Drosophila melanogaster: one gene and its partners. The gene in region 2 interacts genetically with the main gene of each other region. Each region holds a gene or a part of one and is shown on either strand. Other genes may lie near its edges. The genes, in order: CalpB, if, mtm and 14-3-3epsilon.

Region 1 (6,857 bases), on a different chromosome or scaffold from region 2:
GCCAATTGCTTATTGAACACCTGAATCAGCAGCTCCTGCCCGATGCGGTTCTCCAGCATCCGGATTACGAAATGCGCTTTCCTTCGCATCGCCTCCACATACTTCGGCGATACGGTGTGCAAACTCTTGATGGGAAAATAGTGGACAATCTCCTGCTGTTTGCTGGAAGCCGCCGATTGATTTGTGCCCGAAACAGGCAAAGGAGCTGGCGGCTGACTGCAATCGAGAATAATGCCGCCATACTGCTCCTCGTAGCGAACGACACGCGCCAGTTCAGATTGCACCCAAGCACGGTACTCGTTGTTGCCGAAGCACTTCCTGGAATACAATCCACACAGGTACTCCGCAATGCCCTTGGCCAGCCAGGTGTCCGACCAATGATGGGATGTAATAAAGCAGCCGAAGAATTGCTCAGCCACAGCGCGCGACATAAAGGTTCGAGATATATAGGTCTGATCGATGATAGCTATGGAGTGCAGCAGATTCACCGAAGCAATGCTCATAGTGGCATAGGCACTTATGTCCGTGTCCAATTCGTCTACAAACACTTGTTTGTAGCAACTGAATGGGTAGCGCGTAGATAAGGTCTCCTCGTAAAATTCAAATGCCTCGTGCAAATAGCGAACCGTATTTTTTAACAGCGGCAACAATCCGGGCAGACAAAAGTGGGTCACTTCATGCATGTGCGGATCCACGTAGATCTCAAACTGACCCACAGCCAGCGCAATATTTGGTGCACATACTGGTGTGCTAACCGAATAGTGGAAGGTTTTCTTTCGCAGATCTGGGGTCATAATGACTTCTAGAAGTTCTCCACACGAAACGGCGGTCATATTTTTGTCGACAGTGAACTCCAGCCGCCAGGTGCAGGGATCGGCGAAACTGTCCACGCAGGGAAACCACAATCTCGACGAGTTTTCATAGCAATTGGTGAACATATGCGAGCTGTTCATCTGTGTCTCCTCGTCCGTTGAAGCGGGTGGTATGACAAAATGTACGCCGCATTTGGGATTCTCCAACGAGAACTCGATGCGGATGCGCAGACCCTGACCCTCCTGGATCATAGAGTAGCCCTCGGGCGGAACCTGGATGAGCAGTTCGCCGTTGTTCACATCGGGATCGGTGTACTGGGCGGCGGTCAGATGATGCTTGGAGTAGACCTCCAGCGCGCGGCTCTTGTGCTCCTTGTAGCAGATGTTCTGGAAGGGATCGAAGTACGTGAAATCCGCCTGGCAGACATCGTTCAAAACGACGCTGTAGATTCTCAGCTGCTTGGCATTCAGGCGTATCAGGCGCAGATTCTCGCTGTTCGGCACAATGGTCAGCTCGACCACGCCCTAAAGGGAGGAGGTGTGTTATGTTTTGTACATATTTAAGTGTATCTAAGTTATATCCTTACGATTATGCTCCTCCGCTCGAAACTGATGCCCGTGAGGCTCACAACCTGATGCGCCGTGCTATTCAAAAGGGAGAACTCATTATTTTTGGATTCCTAACAGAGCAGGGTGAATACTTATAATTTAAACGGTCGCAGCGGCACCTCGGGCACCTCAGGTTGCGTTTCCATCGCTCAAATGCCGGTTCTGCGCCAGAATTTATTAACTAATTTGCGTTTGTTATAAAAAAAAACACAGCACTGTTTAACTTCTTCTTCTTCTATTGAAAATGCCGACAGGGCTAAAAAAATACCAAATTCATTCGGATAAAGATGGCAACTCTGCGCGACAATGTAGCCCTGCTCGCCTTTTTTTAACCCTCGAAACGTGTTGGGTCTTCAATATTGACACTAATTTAATAGTTTACGTTCGTAAACAATATAGACTACATAACTACTTCTCTAATACCATAAAAATACATTTTTTAGAAAACTAAAATTTATTAAAAGCTATATTTGTTTTTATTGAAACTGTTTAATAAAACAAAATTAATATTTCTATAATATATTTTCTGAGTTAATAAATGAATTAGAATGTTATAAATATTTCATTCTGCATTTTCAAAGCTTTTTTGATTGCACATGCATATTCAAAGAAAATTTATACAGAACGCGCAAGGGTTAAAGATTATGAATCATTTACCGAGAAAGTTAAATTTGGATACTTCTCCCATTTAAAGCGTACGATTCTCAGCGAGTCAGCAGTTTTACCACGGCAGCGAGTTAATAAACATCTGGATATCATCCAGTTCCGTAGTTTTAGCCGATTTGCAACGCCATTAGTAGTTAGATTTAGGGAAAAACCAGTGCGTGGACGAGGAAAACCACAGCGAAAAACCAGTAAAAATGTACGGCATTGATAATTACCCCAAGAATTATCATGCCAGTGGCATTGGCCTTGTCAATTTGGCGGCCTTGGGCTACAGCAAGAATGAAGTCAGCGGCGGGAACGAAGGAGGAGGAGCTCCCAAACCCAAAGCGGGTCTCTACCCCTCGTTGCCCTATCCATCATCCGAATCCGTGGGCGGAATGCCATATGTGGTAAAGCAGACGAGTCATGCCCAGAATGCTTCGTATGCGGGACCCACCATGGGCATGGGAATGCCCGTGCCAGAAGCCCCCTCAGCGCCGGCTCCATACCCCAGTGCCACGCCATACCCTGGATCAGGACTTTATCCTAGTCTGCCATCAGCCAACGTATCATCGCTGCCGTACCCCACTGCGCCTATGGCGCCCTATCCAACCGGAATGCCCTATCCAACTGGCATGCCGCAGCCCAATCTACCCTATCCGGCGGCTCCGCTCGCACCATATCCATCTGCCATGCCCGGTTTGCCCGGTATGCCAATGCCGTACGCTCCCATGCCAACGAGTCCGGCTCCCCAGCACAATATCGGATTCCCAGCACTACCATATCCCACGGCACCGCCACCGGAAAGTGCTCCAACCCAGGAGGAGGAACCTTCCGTCGGCGTGGCCGAGCTAAGCTTCACCAGCGTGAAGGTGCCCGAGAACCAGAACATGTTTTGGATGGGTCGCAAGGCCACTAGTGCCCGGCAGAACAGCGTAAGCAAAGGCGATTTCCAATCGCTGCGCGACAGTTGCCTGGCTAATGGAACCATGTTCGAGGATCCCGATTTTCCGGCCACCAACGCTTCGCTGATGTACTCACGACGACCGGATCGCTACTACGAGTGGCTGCGTCCCGGTGACATCGCCGATGATCCGCAGTTCTTCGTGGAAGGCTATTCACGATTCGATGTGCAACAAGGAGAACTTGGCGATTGGTAAGACCAAACGCATTAATAACACATAAGTGGACATAAATTCAAAAATTAAATATTCCTTCACAGCTGGCTACTGGCTGCAGCTGCCAATTTGACGCAGGACTCGACGCTCTTCTTTAGGGTAATCCCGCCGGATCAGGACTTCCAGGAGAACTACGCTGGCATCTTTCACTTCAAGTTTTGGCAGTATGGCAAGTGGGTGGAAGTGGTCATTGATGACCGTCTGCCCACCTATAATGGCGAGCTAATCTACATGCACTCCACGGAGAAGAACGAGTTTTGGAGTGCCTTGCTGGAGAAGGCTTATGCAAAGCTGCATGGATCTTATGAAGCACTCAAGGGTAGGAAATGGAATATTATCAGTATTTGTAGAAGCGTAGAAAATTTGTGGCATACCAAAATTTATTTTAGTTTCTAAAAATACACTATGCTTATCATATGTTCTTAAAAAAAAATAAACTAATGTGGCACTTATCGCGGTTAGGACTTTGTTGAATAGATCTGAAATTTAAATACTTTCATTCTAATAATTTTTTTGTAACCATCTCTTCACGATTAGGCGGCACCACGTGCGAGGCCATGGAGGACTTTACTGGCGGCGTCACCGAGTGGTACGACATCAAGGAGGCGCCCCCAAATCTATTCAGCATCATGATGAAGGCCGCCGAGCGTGGCTCGATGATGGGCTGCTCTTTGGAGCCGGATCCACATGTTCTGGAAGCGGAGACGCCACAAGGTTTGATTCGCGGTCATGCATACTCCATTACCAAGGTGTGCCTCATGGACATATCGACGCCCAATCGGCAGGGAAAATTGCCCATGATACGTATGCGTAATCCATGGGGCAACGATGCCGAATGGAGCGGTCCGTGGAGCGACAGCTCGCCTGAGTGGCGATTTATTCCGGAGCACACGAAGGAGGAGATTGGCCTGAATTTCGATAGGGACGGCGAGTTCTGGATGTCCTTCCAGGACTTCCTCAATCATTTTGATCGCGTGGAGATATGTAATTTGTCGCCCGACTCGCTGACTGAGGATCAGCAGCACAGCTCTCGCCGCAAGTGGGAAATGTCCATGTTCGAGGGTGAGTGGACATCGGGAGTAACAGCCGGCGGTTGCAGAAACTTCCTGGAAACCTTCTGGCACAATCCGCAGTACATCATTTCGCTGGAGGATCCCGACGACGAGGATGACGATGGCAAATGCACGGCTATTGTGGCCCTTATGCAGAAGAATCGACGTAGCAAGCGCAACGTGGGCATCGACTGTCTGACCATCGGATTTGCTATATATCATCTCACAGACCGTGACATGCAAGTGAAGCCCCAGGGACTCAACTTCTTCAAGTACCGAGCATCGGTGGCGCGTTCACCACATTTTATCAACACGCGCGAGGTTTGCGCCCGGTTTAAGTTGCCACCTGGCCACTACCTGATTGTTCCATCGACCTTCGATCCGAATGAGGAGGGCGAGTTCATTATTCGCGTCTTCTCGGAGACAAGGAACAATATGGAGGAGAACGACGATGAGGTTGGCTTTGGCGAGACCGACGATCGCATTGCTCCGTCTCTGCCGCCACCGACTCCAAAGGAGGAGGATGATCCGCAGCGCATTGCACTGCGTCGTCTGTTCGACAGCGTGGCTGGCAGCGATGAGGAAGTCGACTGGCAGGAGCTGAAGCGCATCCTGGACCACTCTATGCGCGATGTTATGGTGGGCAGTGATGGCTTCTCCAAGGATGCCGTGCGTTCGATGGTAGCCATGCTGGACAAGGATCGCTCCGGTCGCCTTGGTTTCGAGGAGTTCGAAGCTCTGCTTACCGATATTGCCAAGTGGCGGGCGGTCTTTAAGCTATATGACACCCGTCGCACTGGCAGTATTGATGGATTCCATCTGCGCGGAGCACTCAATTCGGCTGGCTATCATCTGAACAACCGGCTCCTGAACGCCCTGGCCCATCGCTACGGATCGCGGGAGGGACAAATACCATTCGACGATTTCCTGATGTGTGCCATCAAGGTTAGAACATTCATCGAGATGTTCCGCGAACGGGACACGGACAATTCGGACACGGCCTTCTTCAACTTGGACGACTGGCTGGAGCGAACAATTTACTCTTAAATTACTTGCAATTGCTACTAATCTAATCCTAAGTGCGACGTATACTTAATCTACCTGTGCATCATATTATTCATGCATTCAAATGAGAAAGCCAACACACAAATCCATGACAATGCGATCCGGCGATGCAAAGAGATACACTCACTGAGCCAACAAGAGAATCTTATCTATATGACCATATCCGGAAATACAAATCATGTGGCGAAATTGGAGTGGCCTTGGAACGGCACGAGGTTGCTACGAGTATGCACGGTAAACAGTATAAATCCCGCATACACAATTCAAAAAATTAACGCTATAGATTTTTTTTTACCATGCTGCGCAACTGGAGGGATGACTAAGAGCAAGCATCAATAGCAAATCCACTCCATGCACCTCGTCAAGAGCCGGAAATTTACTAGTACAAACAGTGCATTATTACCTTACAATCGCTATGAGACGCTCGGAAAGCCATTAGAACGCATCGACAATATTTATTAGATATACGGAATGAATAAGCATGTATTTTTGTAACATCGTTAGCTCCGAGCAGTCCACATATTTGCCCAGGTGCTAGAAATAAGTCCAGCCAAACTCTGTTACCCAAACAAACGTTGTTATTATTATCAGGAAAGTAACGCGAAGCGAACAAGCCAACCAACTCATCGAATATTTATAAGCTTAAGCAGAATTTCAGAATATCAGTCAATTTATTGAATCACATCAAAAAATGTAATACGCATATATTTTGTATTTAGTTTTCAGATCAGTAATCTCAAAACATACCTTAATTAGGCACCCTCTATGTCAAAATAAGTGTTTAACTAACTGAAATTAACCAATCGGGTTTAGAGGCTCTTTTTGTTGGATGCTTTTATATTTTACTATAATTTTTGTGAATTAATCAAAGTTACTCTTGTATGCAATTGTTACTATTAATAATTTGTTGTCCGACTTTTTGTATGCATATAAATAAAATGCAGTGATGATTCAATCTACTTGACGACTATAACTACATCAGCACCATTCGGGACGCCAGCATCGATCATTATTTGCTTCATTTCATCTATAGCCAGATTGTTATCGGATGCCAAGTTATTTAGGACCTCGAGAAAGTCTTCGTACTCCAAACGCCATTTCCTGAAACATGTATTTGATTAAGAATGATATGTAGATTTGATGTAGTTACTCACTTGTATCGCATGTATATTAAACCGGTCTGAGTTCGAGTTATGGGATTGGGCATGAGCTTGGCCTGCTCTAGCCAGGCGTCCAACTGCGAGAGGAGTATGCTGTCAAAGTACTCGTTCTCGATGTCGGTGGGTATGACCTGGCATCATTTAGATGAAAATTACTCTTCAATTAACCGGGTCATTCATCATACCTGGAAGTTGGAATACACCAAGAACAGGCTGTCCAGCGTGTGCTTCTTTGGTTTATCTTCATCATCGGCCATCGTGTATTATGTGTGTTGGGTGTTGTGGTGTAGTGTATTAAATCGAATTTGTACAAACGAGAATGGTTTCCCCTGGCAG
Region 2 (4,724 bases):
TCCTCTAAGTAAAAATAAGAACAATATGAACCTCTGACATAGTTCTTTTGTCTGTTTCTATTTTATTAAACAATCTTCTAAAACCAAAAAAAATGCTTAATGCGCGTGGACGCGATGGCGATGGAGGACTGCAGGAGTGCGGATCGATTGCATACGAGTGCCAATTCAGGTGGCTACAGCGAGTTGATGATCTTCCGGCTTCGCATCTGCTCCATCCAGCTCTCGTACTGCTGCTCCGGCGTCTGCGGCTCCTGGTAGTAGTGCTGCGGCGGCTCGCCCTCCTCCAGGCGCACGAAGTAGTGGCAGTGCTTGTACTCCACTTTGCCGAAGCGACCGCGAGCATGCCGCCTCACGCCCTTGAAGACGCGTCCCTTGCCCACGAAGGATTCGGCTGGTAGGTAAGAACAGACAAAGATTCATCAATATAATGGTTAGTGATGAAGAAACTAATGATAATCCATCATTCATAGTGGATACATAGATTCCTTGTGCCCCTGCGGCTCACCTATCCACAGATTGCTCTTGTACTCCACGTTATGCCGCTCCACGGCTATTTGCTGGGCCTCCAGTATGGTCTCCTTCACATCGGTGGCCCCCTTTTTGAGCACAAAGTTCAGCTGCTTCAGCGCCTCGTCGACGGACATTCCGCGAACAAAGGCAGCGATGTACCACATCTTGTCCGGACTGTATTTGATGTTGCTGCGCATGTGGCAGACATACTGTGCAATGCAAGTGGATTAGAGGATTGCAGCTGGAGGGGTAACAGCAGTGCGTTCGAAATATGTATCTTACAGCATTTCTGGGCTCCTCGTCCGTTTCCTGCGGCGGATGCACGGTCTTGTTGTACTCCAGCCATTTGCGGGGTCCGTAGTTGTACTTGTTCCACTTGGCGCACAGCATTCCGGCGGAAGCGGCCGTGTGCAGGGATTTCGACTGGAGGGCAGGTGGTGAAACTGGTGATATGGCTGGTGATATTGAGCTGCTATCCGCCGATCGGAGGAGCGCTGCTCCCTGTGGCGCCTGCAGGCGCAGCTGGGACATTTGCCGGATCACCTTGTGCATCTTAGCTTGCTTGAGTTATCACAGCAAATCCAGGCAATTCAATCCGGAAGGGAAAACGCAGACTTTCCGTAAAAAAAATAATCGCGTAATCTGCCAGTGTGACCAATGGCAGCAGGTATGCCGTGGACCTAAAACGTACCGCACAAGCGGCTGATCTGCGAGCGGTATGGCAGCGTTTGATTAGGATATGTAAACATCTGGCAGCGCTATCGATATTGCTTGAAAATATATTTATTTATTAGATTTAAAAAAAAACTTGTAAAAGCAAGTTGGTACGACATAAAATTATTAACTTAAATAAGAGCATATCAGCAATTCACATTTAGAAGCCATTAAAATAATGCATTGAAACGGAAACATTTATCTCCACACAAATTAGCAATTAATACACATTTTCATAAAAATATGAAACCTAACAATTAAAGTACCCATTTGGAATTGACCATCTTTAAAGTATATTAAAATTGAAAGACATAAATATTCCTTATGCACTATGTAACTATTCTAGTTCAATATTATACACTTAAGTTGATCGTTCTCAACAGCGCGTCGCGCTCACTTTTGAATCGCCCAACGATCTGGCATCCCTGCGTGAAATTTGAAATTGTATCTGAGGAATTGCTAGCCATCTGAGTGCTGCATTCGGTGGCGTGAAGCGAAAGTTGCCTGGTGTAAAGTGCGGAGCGCTCGCGTTCGAAACGGAAATTCAACGGGCGCCAGTTTTGATTCAAATTCGCGTATGCAAATGCAATCGATGGTAATTGAACGGCGAAACATTTATATTTGCGTGTTATCTGATACATATATCCAGCCATCGAAAATGTTTACCGGAGTTTCGAGGGCTCATTGTTTGTTTTCATTAATTTGCATTGCCAGTTTGCTCTGCCTCGGTTAGCCGGCGAATTTGCTCGTATAGTCGAATTGCACTACATTCCGAGATCTCGTGATTGCGAATCTAAACCATCTGGATAAATGGGAAAACCCATTTTCACTGCAGCGTTCTCATTTTCGAGGCAGAATTAATTTGCACCAACGCACATGCGAAAATGTTGCATATCGTGCAATTAAAACTTATAGATTTCAAAGCTCATTTAGTTAAAACTTTGAAAAAAGTGTATTTACCTTTTTCGAATTTTAAAAAATATATACATTTTTTTAATTTCCGAATGGATATAAGCTTGTGTATATGAACATAAAAATCATAAATTTATATGTGATTCCATTTTCGAAATAAACGTTCTTCCATATGTACATATGGCCCAACAAAATGACACATCAAATGGTCGAAACTTTTGCTAACGGAAATTACAGACTTCCCACACGAAACTCACCTTTGAAATTTTTTTCGAGTGGGATGCTCGCTACATACATGTGTAGATAATGAAAAAATAAAACTTTTGCTATCGTTTTGGTTGTTTGAGAGCTTTGCGTTTGTTCCGAGATCGCTCTCCCGAGTCTAAAAACTAGAGACTACATTGGTTGGGTATTGAGTAGGCGATCTGGCACGAGCAGTTCACCCATGTATCTCTGGCGGTGCTAAGATGTATCTTACAGATACTGTGCGCCATTAGTCGTCGTTTAAATCTTGCTGCGTTCGCTGCCGAGGTAGAGCAAACACCAAATGTCAAATAGCAAATCAAAATATAAATAATACAAACAATACCAATTGAAAGTGAACTTTACTTATTAACAGCACAACACGCGACGCGCCAACAAATTGCTTGAAACATTTTTTTCCAGTGTTGCAGCACCAGTGAAAAGTGCACCGACCAAATAAATTCCCAAAATATACGCATATTAAACAAAATCTGACAAAAAAACACAAACACAAAAGCCAAAATCAATAAACTAATGTCGCAGCTGTGTTTGCACCTCCGACATTTTGTGCAGTGTAGAATTCGATCTGTATATGCACGTCTATATATACATGTGCATATATACCTAGATATAGGCGGACTCTGCTGGGCGTAGCACACAGCTTCCAACTTTTTAGATTTATTTTTAGACAATGATCGTTTTTTCCACTATTTTGATGTGTTTTTTTTTCGTATTCATATCTTAACCATCTGGGCAAGATTGTATGGCAATTCCAGTAGTGACTGTTGCCAAATATATTCAATTGATGTGCAAAAAAAAGAAGAGAAGTGTTCAAAAAGGGTCTCAAACCTTTTACTTCAAAACTGAAGGTTATTTCGTTAATTAGTAGTTACAAGTTCAAATGATGATCAAATAAATGGGAAACGAAGAAATATTTTTAGAAACTTTCGCCAGCTTTTGCATTTAAATGCAAATTGCACGCTTAGGAAGTTATTTATGCAAATTTAGCAACTTTCAGTTAACAATTGTGTTCGCCTGGCAACGCATTTCAATTTTTAGCCTGCAATTTGTGGGCCACGAAATTAACTGTCTTATTTATATTGACACATTCGCCAGTCATTTTGAATGCCAGCCGCATGATCAATTTGTTGAATGTTAAATGGTGTACACCATATGGCGCGTTCTACAGCGAATTTTTAGGTTGTTTTTTTTTCCTCTCTCTCGCTTAATTATAATTCATTTTCTTGTCTATGAATGGCAGCCGCCCATCAATGAACTCGAATCGCCCACACTCGGCGGAAAAACTGGGCATAAAAAGTGGAAAATGTGTCAAATGTCACCTGCACAAAACCGCCTACAACTTGTGGGATTCTTTTCCGCCACAGAAACCTACGTACACTGCAAAAAATATCCAGCTCAAATACTTACTTAAGGTCTTGATTTCTTCAAGTACTTGCAACTGAAATAATATTTTGAATCGTTCGATACCAATTGCATTTTCAACTTTTCCTTGAAAGTTATCTTCAATTTAAACTAAAGTTGTGTGGGAAGGGCTGGCTGGCTGGCTTTCAATCTGGCTAAAAGTCTAATGGCTTTTTGGCCGTTATTTTGTTATTTTGGCCAACCTGTTTGACGGCCCATTACGTCACCATCACCATCATCGCGATGCTGAGCGTAGAACGCGCCAAAATCTAAGCATGCAGCAAAAAGAAAAAAATCCAAAAGCAAACATGAAACCGTCAAAAATGTCTAAAAACAACAAATCAGATTTTAGAATTAGACAACAATATATGAACGACCCGACTGATACCCTAGCATTTTGCTGCAGTGAAAAGGAGATGATTGAAATCATTTAAACAAAAAAAAAATAAAATAAAATAAATAATAAAAAGAAGTGAGAACCTAAAGTGATTTGTTAAAAAATTAACAAGAAACCGTTTTAATGAAAACAAAAGCTACTAAATATAAAAATATAATATAAACAACCTTACATGCAAAGAAATATAATTAAAACCTAATAATATAATAATAATCGATAAAAATAAGTTCAAATTATCGGATGACATGCATTTTATTGATTTTTTGGCATTGACAGTTTAATAGTAACGAATAATTTGAAAAGAAACTGAACCGTGTAATAAAGATACTCGTAATTGGCCCGACATCCGACTTCAGACATTAGATATCCGACCAGCCCTAACCACCCCGCCCACTCCGCGATTCCCAAGGCCAACAGATCTTGATTATGATGTTAAGCGAGAGAGAGAGAGAGAGCGGGCGAGTGGGTGCGAATGAGAGAGGAAGATCGCAGACGTTGAGATAGAGATATGTGGAGATACTAAAAA
Region 3 (4,695 bases), on a different chromosome or scaffold from region 2:
TGCGCTGCGACACCAATTGATGTGATGTTCCAGGTGCGGAATAAAGTTCCTACACACAAGCGGAGTGAAGAAGTCGCGTTCCAAGTTGATGCCCACCGAGAGGCGAGACAAGGAGGTCAAGGGAATGACTTCGTCATCAACTTGTGACTCGATTAATTGAAGAGATCTCGTCAGCACGGCCTCCACGACTGCCTCGGAGTTTGGTATATGCATTTTGCGCAGGTACAGGTAGCATCTACTGAGATCATCGATCTCCAGTTGGTGTACATAAGGGGCCAACTTTGGGAGCACGTTAAGCAGCACGCGATCCGTGATGGCATCTTTACTTGCCTGCTCCGCGTCGTGATAGATGTTCCACAGCAGTGAGATTCCCATCACCACATGGGAGCTCTGCAGGCCGTCACAGCTCTCCAACACATCTAAAATCTGGTTACCCGTCTTGGCCTCCTCCAGTCGGGTTAGAAGAGCATCCTGTTCCCGTGGCACGCCAAACTTGTCTTGGAGATCTCCGTTCACCAGCTGCGAGTGCTTCCTCAGTTTTTGGCCCAATGCCGGCAGCAAGGCAGCTGTTTGGATGGGCGGCTTTGCGCCAATGTTAACGTGCCGTCGCAGGAGCTGAAGCTGACGCACTCGCAGAAGGTATTGTAGGTACTTCCATTGTGTCCGCGGCAGGTGGTTCAGATACATGCCACTTTATCTCACGCTTATTCAGAAATCGTTGAATAATAACAAAATTACGCCGTATAAACATGTGAGTGAATTTTTGGCGATCAGCTGGTGTCGGTGTTGCCATGAAATCCTAATTTCCATTATACTGAAACCAATAATGGAATCAATGTGTAAAAAAAAACTTAAAATAATTTCTGAACTGTGATTAGCGGTATACAAGTTAGATAAGTAATTACTTAATTCGTAAGTAATTTGTTTATTTCGTCAAAAGTTTCATAGTGGCAACTCTAGTTTTCAACAGGTTGTTGACGAGTTGACATTTCTGTTTGTAAGCAACAGCTGATAAGCAGCTGACCCTAAATAATTTAATAGGCTAGAGCGTTATCGTTGTTAAACAACTAAACAATGGCATACACTGATCCTGCGCAACGAAACCAGGTGACCGTGCTCCAGGTCGGCTATTCTCGCCAAGAAGAAGGAGACGAGTCCGCCATGCGGGCTAACTGCACATGCACACTGGTCCGCTGCCGGGATGGCACCAACATAATCGTGGACACACTGACGGCCTGGGATGGAGATCACCTGCGTTCGTTGTTGGGCCAGCAGGGACTAGGCGTCGATGACATCCACGTGGTGGTCTGCTCTCACGGACACTCTGACCACATCGGTTGCAACTATCTGTTTCAGAAGGCACGAATGCATTTGGTCGGCGCATGTGCCTCACATCACGACCTCTACATGGACCACCTTGGTAGTGGTAATCCAGACGAGCAACTGGCCCTAGATTCGAATGCCGAGGTGGTAGTGAGGCGGTCGCCAGGACACACCCTCAGCTGCGTTTCAGTTCTTGTGGAAAATTCCCAGCTGGGTGGACGGGTCGGTATCACCGGAGATCTCTTCGAGCGTCGCGAGGACATCGACGATGAGAACATTTGGATGGACGCTGGAAGCGAAAACGAGAAGGTGCAGCGCGAGGAGCGCAGTAAAATGGCACAACTGTGCGAGTTTATAATCCCAGGACATGGTCCGATGTTTTCTGTCACACAATCAATGCGCTGTAAACTTAAAGAAGACGCCACTTCTAACACTTAATTTATTAAGCATTAAATACATATGTTAGAGATTTTTTTAAAAGCGGAATTGTTCTAGCTTTCCTTGATTACCAGTTAAATGTCTGAAATAAGTTGATTAATTCCAATACATAAAAATCAAATTTTCCGCCACTACATAATGTCCCTTTGGTACTTTTGTCGGAGGAATGGGAAATTATTCCAGATGATTTTATATTGCGTGAGTTGGCAGCACTGCTGCATGAGTTTTGGTGAATTGCATTTAGCTAACAATTGGAAAAGAAAACACAGCTGCAACCAGCAACACAATAGCCAAACACCACTCGTGTCCATCCGAAAATGGATCCCTCCGCGAGCCTGGCCGACAAGTTGGCCTCCAAGACTGCCAGCAGCAACTCTCTGGACAGCAGCTCCAAGTCCAGTTCGCTGGGCTCCAAGCACGGTGGCGGAGAAAACGGCATTCTGCGGGACACGCCCTTCGGCTATCTGGAGGGCGAAGAGGACCAGGACCAGAAGAACGACGTGACCTACGTGTGTCCGTACCGCGGCCCCGTCTTCGGCGCTCTTACCATAACCAACTACCGTCTGTACTTCCGGTCGCTTCCCCTGCGGGATCAGGAGCCGCCCGTCGTCGTCGACGTGCCTCTGGGCGTGATCGCGCGTGTGGAGAAGATTGGAGGTGCCACGTCTCGCGGTGAGAACTCGTACGGCATCGAGATTTTCTGCAAGGACATGCGAAACCTGCGATTCGCCCACAAGCAGCAGAATCATTCGCGGAGGACGGTGTTTGAGAAACTGCAGGCCAACGCCTTTCCGCTCTCGTACAGTGGGCGCCTCTTTGCATTCGCCCACGCCGCGGCCAACTCTGTGAACGGTAACGGAGGCTGGGACGGCTGGGCGGTATATGAACCGCTGGCGGAGCTGCGCCGCTTGGGCGTTCCCAACGATATGTGGCGGGCGACCAAGCTAAACGAGTCCTACGCAATTTGCGACAGCTATCCGGCCGTGTGGGCTGTGCCCAAAGCGGCCTCCGATGATTTCCTGAGGCGCGTGGCACAGTTCCGATCGCGCTGCCGCCTGCCGGTTTTGTCCTGGATGAACCCACGGACTCAAGCGACCATTACAAGGTGTTCCCAGCCGCTGGTGGGTGTAAGTGGCAAGCGAAATTCCGACGATGAAGCATACCTAAGCTTTATCATGGAGGCGAACGCCCAGTCAGACAAGTTGACCATCATGGATGCGCGACCAAGCGCCAATGCGATTGCTAACAAGGCCAAGGGCGGCGGCTACGAGTCAGAGGACGCGTACAAGAACGTGGAAATCAACTTCCTCGACATACACAACATCCACGTGATGCGGGAGAGCCTACGCAAAGTGAAGGAGGCTTGCTTCCCCACCACCGACGACTCAAAGTGGCAGACGGCTATTGACAACACACTGTGGCTAAAGCACATTAGGTGCATCCTGGCCGGCGCCGTTAGGATTGTTGACAAGGTGGAGACCATGAGCACCTCCGTCGTAGTTCACTGCTCCGACGGCTGGGATCGCACAGCCCAGCTGACTGCTCTTTCCATGTTGCTGCTCGATCCGCACTATCGCACAGTGCGCGGTTTCGAGGTTCTCATTGAGAAGGAGTGGCTCTCCTTTGGCCACAAGTTCCAACAACGCATTGGTCACGGCGACAACAAGCACTCGGATGCAGACAGATCTCCGGTGTTCCTGCAATTTATCGATAGCGTCTGGCAGGTTAGCCAGCAGTTCAACAACGCATTTGAGTTCAACGAGCACTTCCTGATAACCATCGTGGATCATCTGTACTCGTGCCGCTTCGGCACCTTCCTCTGCAACACGGAGGCCGAGCGTGTGGCCGAAGGTTAGACTGATTGCTGTTTGCATGGGCTTGGAAGTAATTTTCACATTTATTGTAGATCTCAAGCACAAGACAACATCCCTGTGGACGCACATCAACTCGTCGCTGGACCAGTATTTGAATCCACTCTTTCCCTCGTTCACGCACGGCGCCGAGCTAGTGCTGCGTCCGATTGCCAGCGTGAGATCGGTCCGCTTGTGGAAGGGCCTATACTGTCGCTGGAATCCTGGTCTGTGCGCTCCTCAGCATGGCTGCCAGCGAACCCGCGAACTGCTATCCAAGCAGGACCAGCTCTTTAAGCTCGTCAACGAGCTGCGGCTCAAGTCGAACAACCGCAGCAACAGCATGCAGACAACTACGCGACTGGCCTCGCCTATGCACTAATAGTATTGCTTTTTTATTCCCCCTACTTGTACGCATATGTAGTGCACGTATTGTGAACTACGTTCTAATTCCAAATAAAAGTTTTTCTTAAATGGAAAACTAGTCGATTCAACATTGTATCATTGAACCACATTATCGAATCTAATTAAAGTGTTAAATGTCTGAGAATGTTTTAATTATTTCATGAATAACATCATATAGTTCAAATCGTATAGCGTTTTCGCAGCTCAGTGGAGCTACTTTTATATGTGCCTTAAACTAGTTTGGATGTCAAAAAGATACCTAAACAGGTGACCAACTGTTGCACGCTCCTTGTGATTCATTCATAAACACCGCTTCATAGAGGCGCCTGCGCGTTGGACTACGCACGTTAAATCCCGAATCCCACTTTTGACACCACAGGACACAAAACATTTCGGCTTTGCGCCAAAATTAAATCACAGCTGCCTCAGTACGACATCGCACGTTCATTGGGACAGACGTGTTCCGATTTCCGGTAGGAAAAGGGCAGGTGTTTGTAAAATATCAGGAAATGCGTTCGGAACTCTTAGAGTTCCGCAATAGATATTAGTTATGCCTACTAGGATATGTGTGCTGTTTGGGCTTCTGTGCCTCGCAAGCTTATGCTGCGGTAGTAACAAGCCAGGAGAGGTGCTCCTGGTTATCGCCTGTCCCCCGCATCCTCAGCAGGCCAGAAGTGAT
Region 4 (7,932 bases), on a different chromosome or scaffold from region 2:
CGCCAACTTAATAGTACCGCGAATTTTTTATGTTGCGATTCGATTCTGGGCCGCAGCAACAGCCGCGCCACGCCCACCAGGCCGCCCAATTTTCAAACATTTTGCTTGGATAGTTGTTTTTTTTTTCTGTTTTTGTGCTGTTGTTTTCCATGCTGTTTATTGTGGATGACAATTTGTGTTCCTGCTGCTTTGCTTGCTGTTATCATGTTGCAAATATGTTGATACACATACGGGTGCTGCTGTTGTGGTGATCGACTGCTATGGTTGTTGTTGCCGCATTGGTTCCATGTTGTTGTTCTTGAAGTTGTTGTCGTGTTGTTGTTGATTTTGTTGTTGTTGTTGTATGCATATATATTATATGGTATTATATTTACTTTAGAAGGTATATAATGTGTTTTAAATGGAAGGGCGGGGGTTTACTTAAATTACGACACGTCCTGATCCTCAACATCCTGGATTTGCTCTTTGGGCTCGCCATCACCTGCGTTGGGGTCTACTTCTTAGTATAATATTTAGAACTTAATAACGGAGCCGAACAAGTGGATGTGATATTACAACTTACCTTCTGCCTGCATATCGGACGTCCATAATGTGAGGTTGTCGCGCAGCAGCTGCATGATGAGTGTCGAGTCTTTGTAGCTCTCTTCGCTCAGTGTATCCAACTCGGCAATGGCATCATCGAAAGCGGCTTTCGCCAAGCGGCAAGCGCGGTCCGGCGAGTTGAGAATCTCATAGTAGAACACCTGCAAGGATTTTAAAATATATATATAGAAAACATATGACGACATCGTGTCTCTTCACAATCACTCACCGAGAAGTTCAATGCCAAGCCCAAACGGATGGGGTGTGTTGGTGGCAGATCGTTCATGGCAATATCGCTGGCCGCCTTGTAGGCAATCAGCGAGTTCTCTGCCGCATCCTTGCGGTCGGAGCCGGTGGCGAATTCGGCCAGGTAGCGATGGTAGTCGCCCTTCATCTTATAGTAGAATACTTTGCTTTCGCCGGATGTGGCGCATGGAATGAGATGCTTCTCGAGCACGTTCAGTATATCCGAGCAGATGTCGCGCAGCTCCTTCTCCACCTGTCCGCGGTAGGTTTTGATCATCTCCAATTTCTCCTCGGCCCCCTTGTTCTCCTCCTTCTGTTCGATCGAGGTGATGATGCGCCACGAGGCACGGCGTGCTCCAATCACATTCTTGTACGCCACCGACAGCAGATTTCGCTCCTCGACGGTCAGCTCTACGTCCATGGAGGCGACCTTCTTCATGGCCTCCACCATTTCTGTAAAGAGGACATAACAAATGAAAGGTGTGGTCTTTAGTATATAAGAGTAAATGTTTACAATAATCAAGTGTAACATCTCAAACCAAATTTAAGGGATTGCCCATTAACTAACGATTAGTTTAATCATTAGTTCGCATATATGTATATTCATTCTGCAATGCCTAAGGAAAATATACATCATTAAACAAATACTTCATTTGAGTGAGTAAGAAGTAATGTTTATGATGTAGTTTAAACAATGCTATCGGACGCTATTTTATCAACAATTTCGTAGAATACAAATGTTTGTTTGATTGTTCATATAATTTTTGAATTGCTTTCATATATTTCATGTTAAGATTAAAAATAAAAACCAAACATTTCAATTGGAAAGCCAACAAGATACATACATTATATACATTTTGCGTAGATAAATTTATCCAAGGTATGGAAGGCTTGTTATCTGGACTTTCCTCCCGCTTGTCCTTGTCCCCTCGCGACAGCCTAGACTACCTATTTTCCATTTCTTATCGCCGACACGCCCAATCCGCGATGATATATAAGTTATGCAGATATATTTATGCATAAGGTGGCGTTGCGTCTACGCCTGATTTAGCTGGTTCTGTCATACCAATACCAATACCAATACCAATACGGGGCCATCCAATCAGCCGGTGATAAGGGCTTCCGCCACATTGTTGCACCCAATCCTATCGTCCCCATCGGGGGCATCTCTATCTGCGTCTGCATCACCATCTAAAACTGCGTCATGAATCACATGTTCGGAACTCAACACGGAAGCAAACAAGGAGCTCGTTTATCAAATTAAAGTGAGTAGGTTAAGAGCTGATATCATTTGGCCATTTCATTTCCTTTTTCGAGTCAGTCAATTGAAGTCTAAATATATTTCGAAGTTCATTTAAATGCTTTTCGGGCATATGATTAGTATTTGGAATTATGCAAGATTAGTTTTTGATATCTGACCAAAGGAAATGTAAGATATTTCCGAACCAAATCATCTAAATTATCATTGCAGTGCTGCCTGTCTGGGTAAAGCCAGTTGCAGGCTAACTATCTCGGGCATATCTGGTGGCTGATAACAATACAGAGCTAGACTACACTACTATTCAAAATATTGTAATTGTAGCGCGTTTGCTGACTTGCACTGTCTGCCCTCTCTCGCTCGCACCCGCTGCCCGTCAGCTGCTGACGTATTTCGCACACCAACACCCCCATACATACACACACACTAGCACTCACACACAAAGACATCGGGACATTTGCCGACTGTCTGCTTATTAGTGCGATTTTTGTTGTAGCACGTATTTGTGAAAAATTGCCAATAAAGTTGCATGATTCACGAATATTTGTGGCTGTGATTGAACTTCAAACATTGTTGTTCGCATTGGCGGGCTGTTTGAAACCAATGTGGATGATGATGTGCACACGCATTTTACAACGCTTGCAAGCTATGCTGAGTTACGCATAAAAAATGAACTTGAGAGTGGGTAGGGAGGGGGAAGGGGAGGGGGAGCGCAGTTGGGTGGTGAAGGGTGGCTGGGATCCTTGCAACTTTAAAAGTATACAGCACATGTTGCTTAGTAGTAAGTAATCCACAACCAATTATGAGACATGCGCGTCAGACCAGTCACTAAATCATGTACATATAGCAAGGCGAAAATCAATAAACGCGTCCCAAAAATAAAGAGCCAAGTCCCGCGGGCATGATAAATCATTTGCGGAACCACGAAGTGGTAAAAAGAAATGTATGGAAACTTCTCGAATCATATGAACTTTCAGTAGAAAGTGCAAAGTTCACGAAAGTCTAGCAAATTTGGCGAAAATAGTATGGAATAGATTCTAAGTAGATTCGTGAGTAGTTGAACTACATTTGAAAAGTATTCATCTTTTTTATTATAAAAAATGATTAATCTTTTTCATAAACAAGTTGATTGCAAAGATGAGCGTGGTCATCTCAATTGTGTTGTTTTTCCAAGAAATAAGTATTGGAATTTGATAAACTAGCGACAACCCTGCAAAGGCAATCCACCACCACCCAAAAGTAAAAAGAAGTCACGCGAGCTGGAATGAAATATTGGGACGAAATAGGGAGCAAAAGGAATGGGCAGGATTTTCCACCCCCTCCTACCAACACGCCCCCAGAGATCCACCCCTCCCTTATGAGACGCCTGTGGGTGTGTCTTGCGCTCGTGTGGGTATGAGTGCGCGTGGTTTTGTGTGTGTGTGTATGTGTGTGTGTGTGAGTCGCATAAGGGCGCAGCAGCTGAAAAAACATGCGCACATACCGTTACAGCGGGCAGAGAATGTGTAATTAGACAAAGGAAGCAGCAACAACAGCCCCTAAAATGGTGCAATTTGAGCAAAAAGCGAGCAACAAACAAAACACACCTAACACCACCGCCACCCACCGCCCATCAATCAACCGTATGTATGCTACTTTTTCCACTCATTTTTTTTTTGTCTGCCTTTTGCGCATATTGACGACATTGACGAGAACGAACATCAACGGAAAAAGCAGCGCGCGACCTCGAAAAAAATGTAGATAGAACGCAGAGAGCGCAAGATGGAAAGAGCATGGAGCGGGGGATGGTGGGCGCAGGGGGCAGCACCTGAGAAAGCACACTTAAAGGCTGACGTTAATGTGTGCAGAAAAGGGGAGCAGGGGTTTGAAGAGGAGATGAGATCAGGGGCGGAGAGGGCGAGGCAAGTTCAGATTGGGGGCGCAGACATTGCCGGCTGGCGGCTTTGCCGCTCCGCTTCGCTCTCCGCCGCGCTCTTTCTCTCTCTTCGCGCGCAATGGTATTGGTGCTCCAGCATGAGCTCCACCGCAAAATGTCCGAGTGTGACAAGGCCAACGCCAAGTGCTGCACACCAACGCACACCGATGGGCGAAAATAAGAAGACAAACATGTGATACAGACACAAATATCCCCACCAGTGGTGTATGTATGCATGTATGCCCTGTTTGTGTGTGCTAATAGTTGATTGACTTCTTTGCCGCCGCCACCGCCCGTTAATGTTGTCAGTTTTGCAGGCAATTAGGTGCAGAGTACCGTTTGCAATTATTGTTGCTATAGTCGCTGCCCAAGTACAGCAGCAGGAAGGAACGGCAGACAGAGGAATCGCCAAATGTTTGTTAACTTTTTACAGCCACTGTGCAGCGTCGCCGACACTTCGACACACTAGCCATCTCGTTTTGGCGCACGCAGCGTTTATGGCAATTGGTTAAGCGCGCGCTTTTTGCAAATGCCGAATTTGCCGTCCCCCTCCCACTGCGACTTTCTTTGCATTTTGAGCTGGCTTTTTAATTAATTGGAGTATTTTTAATTAAATATAAGCAAAGGCTACAGAAGAAGCAACAATAAAAACCGCCCGGCGGACACTCATCGGCACACGCACACCTCCGTACAAACACACACACACACGCATGCATACATGCGCATAAGCATGAGTAATGCGAGAGTAACAGAAGAAGCACAGAAAAATTTTATATTTCCTTTTTTCGCATTATCAGATAGGGTTGCCAAGTGGCCGCATAACTGCTTGCAACTAGCCGCAACTAATTTGCATAAATAAAGAATTAAGCAATAGGCAGAAAGTGAGAGAGGGAGACAGCCGGCGACACAATCGATTCATTCATCGATTTTTCGCAGCAACGGCATGGTGACGACGCCGCTGCTGCGCATGAAAAGCACATTTCGTGGAAAAAAAGGGGGAGGGGGTCTGAAAGAGAGGACTGCACCTACCCCTGCCCCACAATCATTGATTTTGGGTGTGGAATAAGTGTATTTAAGAAACTAGAATCCCCAAAAAATGTGTCGTTTCTAGAAAGTTACGCCTTGACAACTACTAAGAAAGAAAAAAAAAGAACGCGAACTGGAATCAACTGCAAACAGCCCTTAGCAACCAAGGAAGAAAATAAAATGCTAGCTGCCGCGCAGCCCTTGCTCGCAACGCCAAATACACAAAATTTTCCCCTTCTAAACTAATACTATATAGTTCCAAAAAAGAAAGAGCGGAGCAAACTATTTGCTGTAAATTATAATACGCAATTCCGTTTCTTTCTCTTTTTGTGCAAAACCACGCGAATTTTTGCCGGTAAAAATCAGGTTTTACACTCTATTCATCTCTTTTCGTTCTTCCGACGCTCTGCTTCTTCTTCGGCTTCTTCCTCTTCTTACTGTTTCCTCCATCTCCCGTTCTTTTCGCAAGAAATACTACTCATCGCGACGCTGCGTCGCTTCGAATGCAGCTACAGCGATGAAAATTGAAAATTTCCATCGTTTTCTCTGGAAGAAAACCTTTTAATTGGCACATTCGGACGAAAAGCGGAGCTCTAGACTTTTTCAACGACCACGCGACGACGCAATGGATCGGGAAGACAAAAAAAAATCCCAGGCGACCCCTCCCCAAAAACGTTGGCGCTCCTCAGTCGAGAAAATTTTTTCCCTACTCTACTAGCATTTGTCTACCGTTTTCTACCATTTTTGCTACCATTTTTTTTCGGAATCACTACTCACCGTCGTAGCGCTCGGCCTGTTCGGCCAGCTTTGCCTTGTACACATTGTTCTCGCGCTCAGTCATTGTGTTGAAGCCTTTTCGGTAAAATTAATCCACAGAAAAAATTATTTAAATGCTCCCGGTACGTGCGGCGTCGATTTTGCTTGCTGCCTGTGGTTCGTCGCCTTCTTTTTTCTCTACTTCTCGAGCGGTGTGACCGTATCGGGCGGCGGTTGAAACACTAAAATTGATGGGCGATGGCCTAATGACGGACTTAAAAACGCATCACGCGTTCCGTGCGCATGCGCAAGCGATGGTGGTAAAATCGGAAAAATTTCTTTTTAAAATGGTATTTCTATCTGGATATTACTTGTGAAAATCCGTTTGTGTGAAGCTTTTATTCGGAAGTTTTAAAATGTTATAGTAAATTGACACATTTAAAAAAGCTATAGCTATAAATATGTTGTATTAAATGAACACATGAAGCAATGTCGTTAGCAGGGACTTCCACCTTTTCTGTGCAATTCAATTTGTCATTAGTCATGACATAACCCACATGCACTGCAGACTATCGATACTTATGATACTTTCGATTAGAGTATAAATTTTAAATTTTAAAATGTGACCGTTTTTTATTTTAAATAAAAGTGTTTAAAAAACAGTTAATATTTTTATGGTTTAATTTAATCCTTCTAAGTTAAAAAAATAAGCTACTAAATGCTCTTATTTAATTTCGAAGTCCGGAAGTGGTTATTTTGGCGTCCTTTGGTCACACTAGCTTTAATGTTGCAAAAAAGTTGGGGAACAACGACATTTGATATGGGAAATATGTTTAGAAACTAAACCACCAGGTCTTGCAGCAGAAACCAGAATGACTCTCAACCTGGGCGGCTGGATCCACAGCTTCACAGTGACGGACACCCAGGAGCACAAGGGCGGGTACACAATATACAAAATCACCTCGATTGTAAGTCGTTTTTTTTGGGGGCAGATGAACTGTTCCAAATAGTAAACCTCACCCACTTTTAGGTCTTCCCAAGGTCGGTACCTCAAGCTCTGACCTGCCTGGTGGTGTGGAAACGGTTCCACGATGTCAAGCGGCTGCATCGCGAGCTTAGCCGGCGCCACAAGAGTCTCCAACTACCCGGCAAGTTGCCAGTGCCCACAGATAGCACATATTTCAAGAGATTCGATGCGGCAGTCATCCAACGGCGTAAGGAGTACATCCTGCAATTATTAGACTTTGCAGCGCAGCATCCGGCGCTGTACAAGTGCTCAACCTTCACACAGTTCTTCCAGGAGACACCCTCGCCAAACGGATCGCCACTTAAGAAGCTATATGTGGAGCGATCCCTGCGGCTGCAGACGGAAGACAATGGCTGCGGAAGTGGCGGTTCGGAAACAGGAACTTGCGCTGGTGCCATAGCCGACATTTGCGATAAACTAGACTTGCCCTATGACCCACACGACGCGGGGGGCATCACGCCTCTAGATCCGCGCTGTGATAAGGAGCAAACGAACAACGAATCCCAGGCCAAAGAAACTGAAATCGAATTAGAAACGAAACAGGAGCCCAAGACAGACGTAGCGCTGACCAAGAGGGATTATCTCCGCCTTCTGACGCCCATGGCTTCCATAGAAAGCGACGACAGCGACTACATATATGAGGCGGCTCTAGAGTTCAGTCATGCCGTCCAAGCGGAGGTTAACCTGGAGTATGCCGAAGCCCACGAGAGGTACAAGCATGGTGTGGACCTGCTGCTCAATGGGGCCAAGCAGGATAGCAGTGAGGAGCGTAGATTTATAGCCAAGGCGAAGATAGCCAAATACTTGGCGCGGGCTGAGGAGATTCACGCCAATTTCCTGGCCAACGATTGTCCGACGAAGAAGCTGCAGTTCCAGCTCTCGCTGGACACGACAGACGGCGGTAGCGTGAGCCATTTGGAGTGCCCCTGGAATCAGTTGGCACGCTACAAGGTGCTGCAGATTCTCCAGGACCGTGTGATGCAGGTGCAGTGTGTGACGAAATCCCAGCAGCCGGCTGCCATTATGAAGGGCGTCGAGAAGCCGGCCAGTCACTCGCTGACCCAGAGCATCTTTCTGCCCCAGCAGGTGCCTTACATGGTCCAACTGCTGGCCTACTTTCAG

What was found.
Region 1: of if (region 2) and CalpB, changing one enhances a phenotype caused by changing the other (phenotypic enhancement), as found in Drosophila melanogaster (one study listed by BioGRID).
Region 3: of if (region 2) and mtm, changing one enhances a phenotype caused by changing the other (phenotypic enhancement), as found in Drosophila melanogaster (one study listed by BioGRID).
Region 4: of if (region 2) and 14-3-3epsilon, changing one suppresses a phenotype caused by changing the other (phenotypic suppression), as found in Drosophila melanogaster (one study listed by BioGRID).

The regions. Positions count from the first base shown.
Region 1 is NT_037436.4:9,887,003-9,893,859, forward strand, and holds CalpB (Calpain-B), read left to right. Parts: upstream 1-1,759; 5' UTR 1,760-2,281; coding exon 2,282-3,222; intron 3,223-3,288; coding exon 3,289-3,563; intron 3,564-3,781; coding exon 3,782-5,343; 3' UTR 5,344-6,317; downstream 6,318-6,857. Other genes in the region: Taf2 (TBP-associated factor 2), read right to left, coding at 1-1,337, 1,400-1,454, 1,518-1,567; CG6709 (uncharacterized protein), read right to left, coding at 6,318-6,462, 6,516-6,652, 6,707-6,778. UniProt on the Drosophila melanogaster protein: Calcium-regulated non-lysosomal thiol-protease.
Region 2 is NC_004354.4:16,780,413-16,785,136, reverse strand, and holds the start of if (inflated), read left to right. Parts: upstream 1-1,702; 5' UTR 1,703-1,819; intron 1,820-2,591; exon of another isoform or gene 2,592-2,667; intron 2,668-4,062; exon of another isoform or gene 4,063-4,273; intron 4,274-4,724. Other genes in the region: mRpL22 (mitochondrial ribosomal protein L22), read right to left, coding at 174-391, 506-719, 793-1,062. UniProt on the Drosophila melanogaster protein: Alpha-PS2/beta-PS is a receptor for Tig, wb and Ten-m. Involved in the function and/or development of the olfactory system.
Region 3 is NT_033779.5:6,034,195-6,038,889, reverse strand, and holds mtm (myotubularin), read left to right. Parts: upstream 1-1,874; 5' UTR 1,875-2,078; coding exon 2,079-3,612; intron 3,613-3,667; coding exon 3,668-3,993; 3' UTR 3,994-4,159; downstream 4,160-4,695. Other genes in the region: CG31643 (uncharacterized protein), read right to left, coding at 1-687; CG9117 (uncharacterized protein), read left to right, coding at 1,075-1,761; CG9109 (uncharacterized protein), read left to right, coding at 4,567-4,695.
Region 4 is NT_033777.3:18,240,782-18,248,713, reverse strand, and holds 14-3-3epsilon (14-3-3epsilon), read right to left. Parts: upstream 6,028-7,932; 5' UTR 5,869-6,027; coding exon 5,805-5,868; intron 1,282-5,804; coding exon 812-1,281; intron 744-811; coding exon 563-743; intron 500-562; coding exon 426-499; 3' UTR 135-425; downstream 1-134. Other genes in the region: CG7156 (uncharacterized protein), read left to right, coding at 6,656-6,751, 6,814-7,932. UniProt on the Drosophila melanogaster protein: Positively regulates Ras-mediated pathways. Acts downstream or parallel to Raf, but upstream of nuclear factors in Ras signaling. Three mutants have been isolated, that suppress the rough eye phenotype caused by mutated Ras1 (sev-Ras1 v12).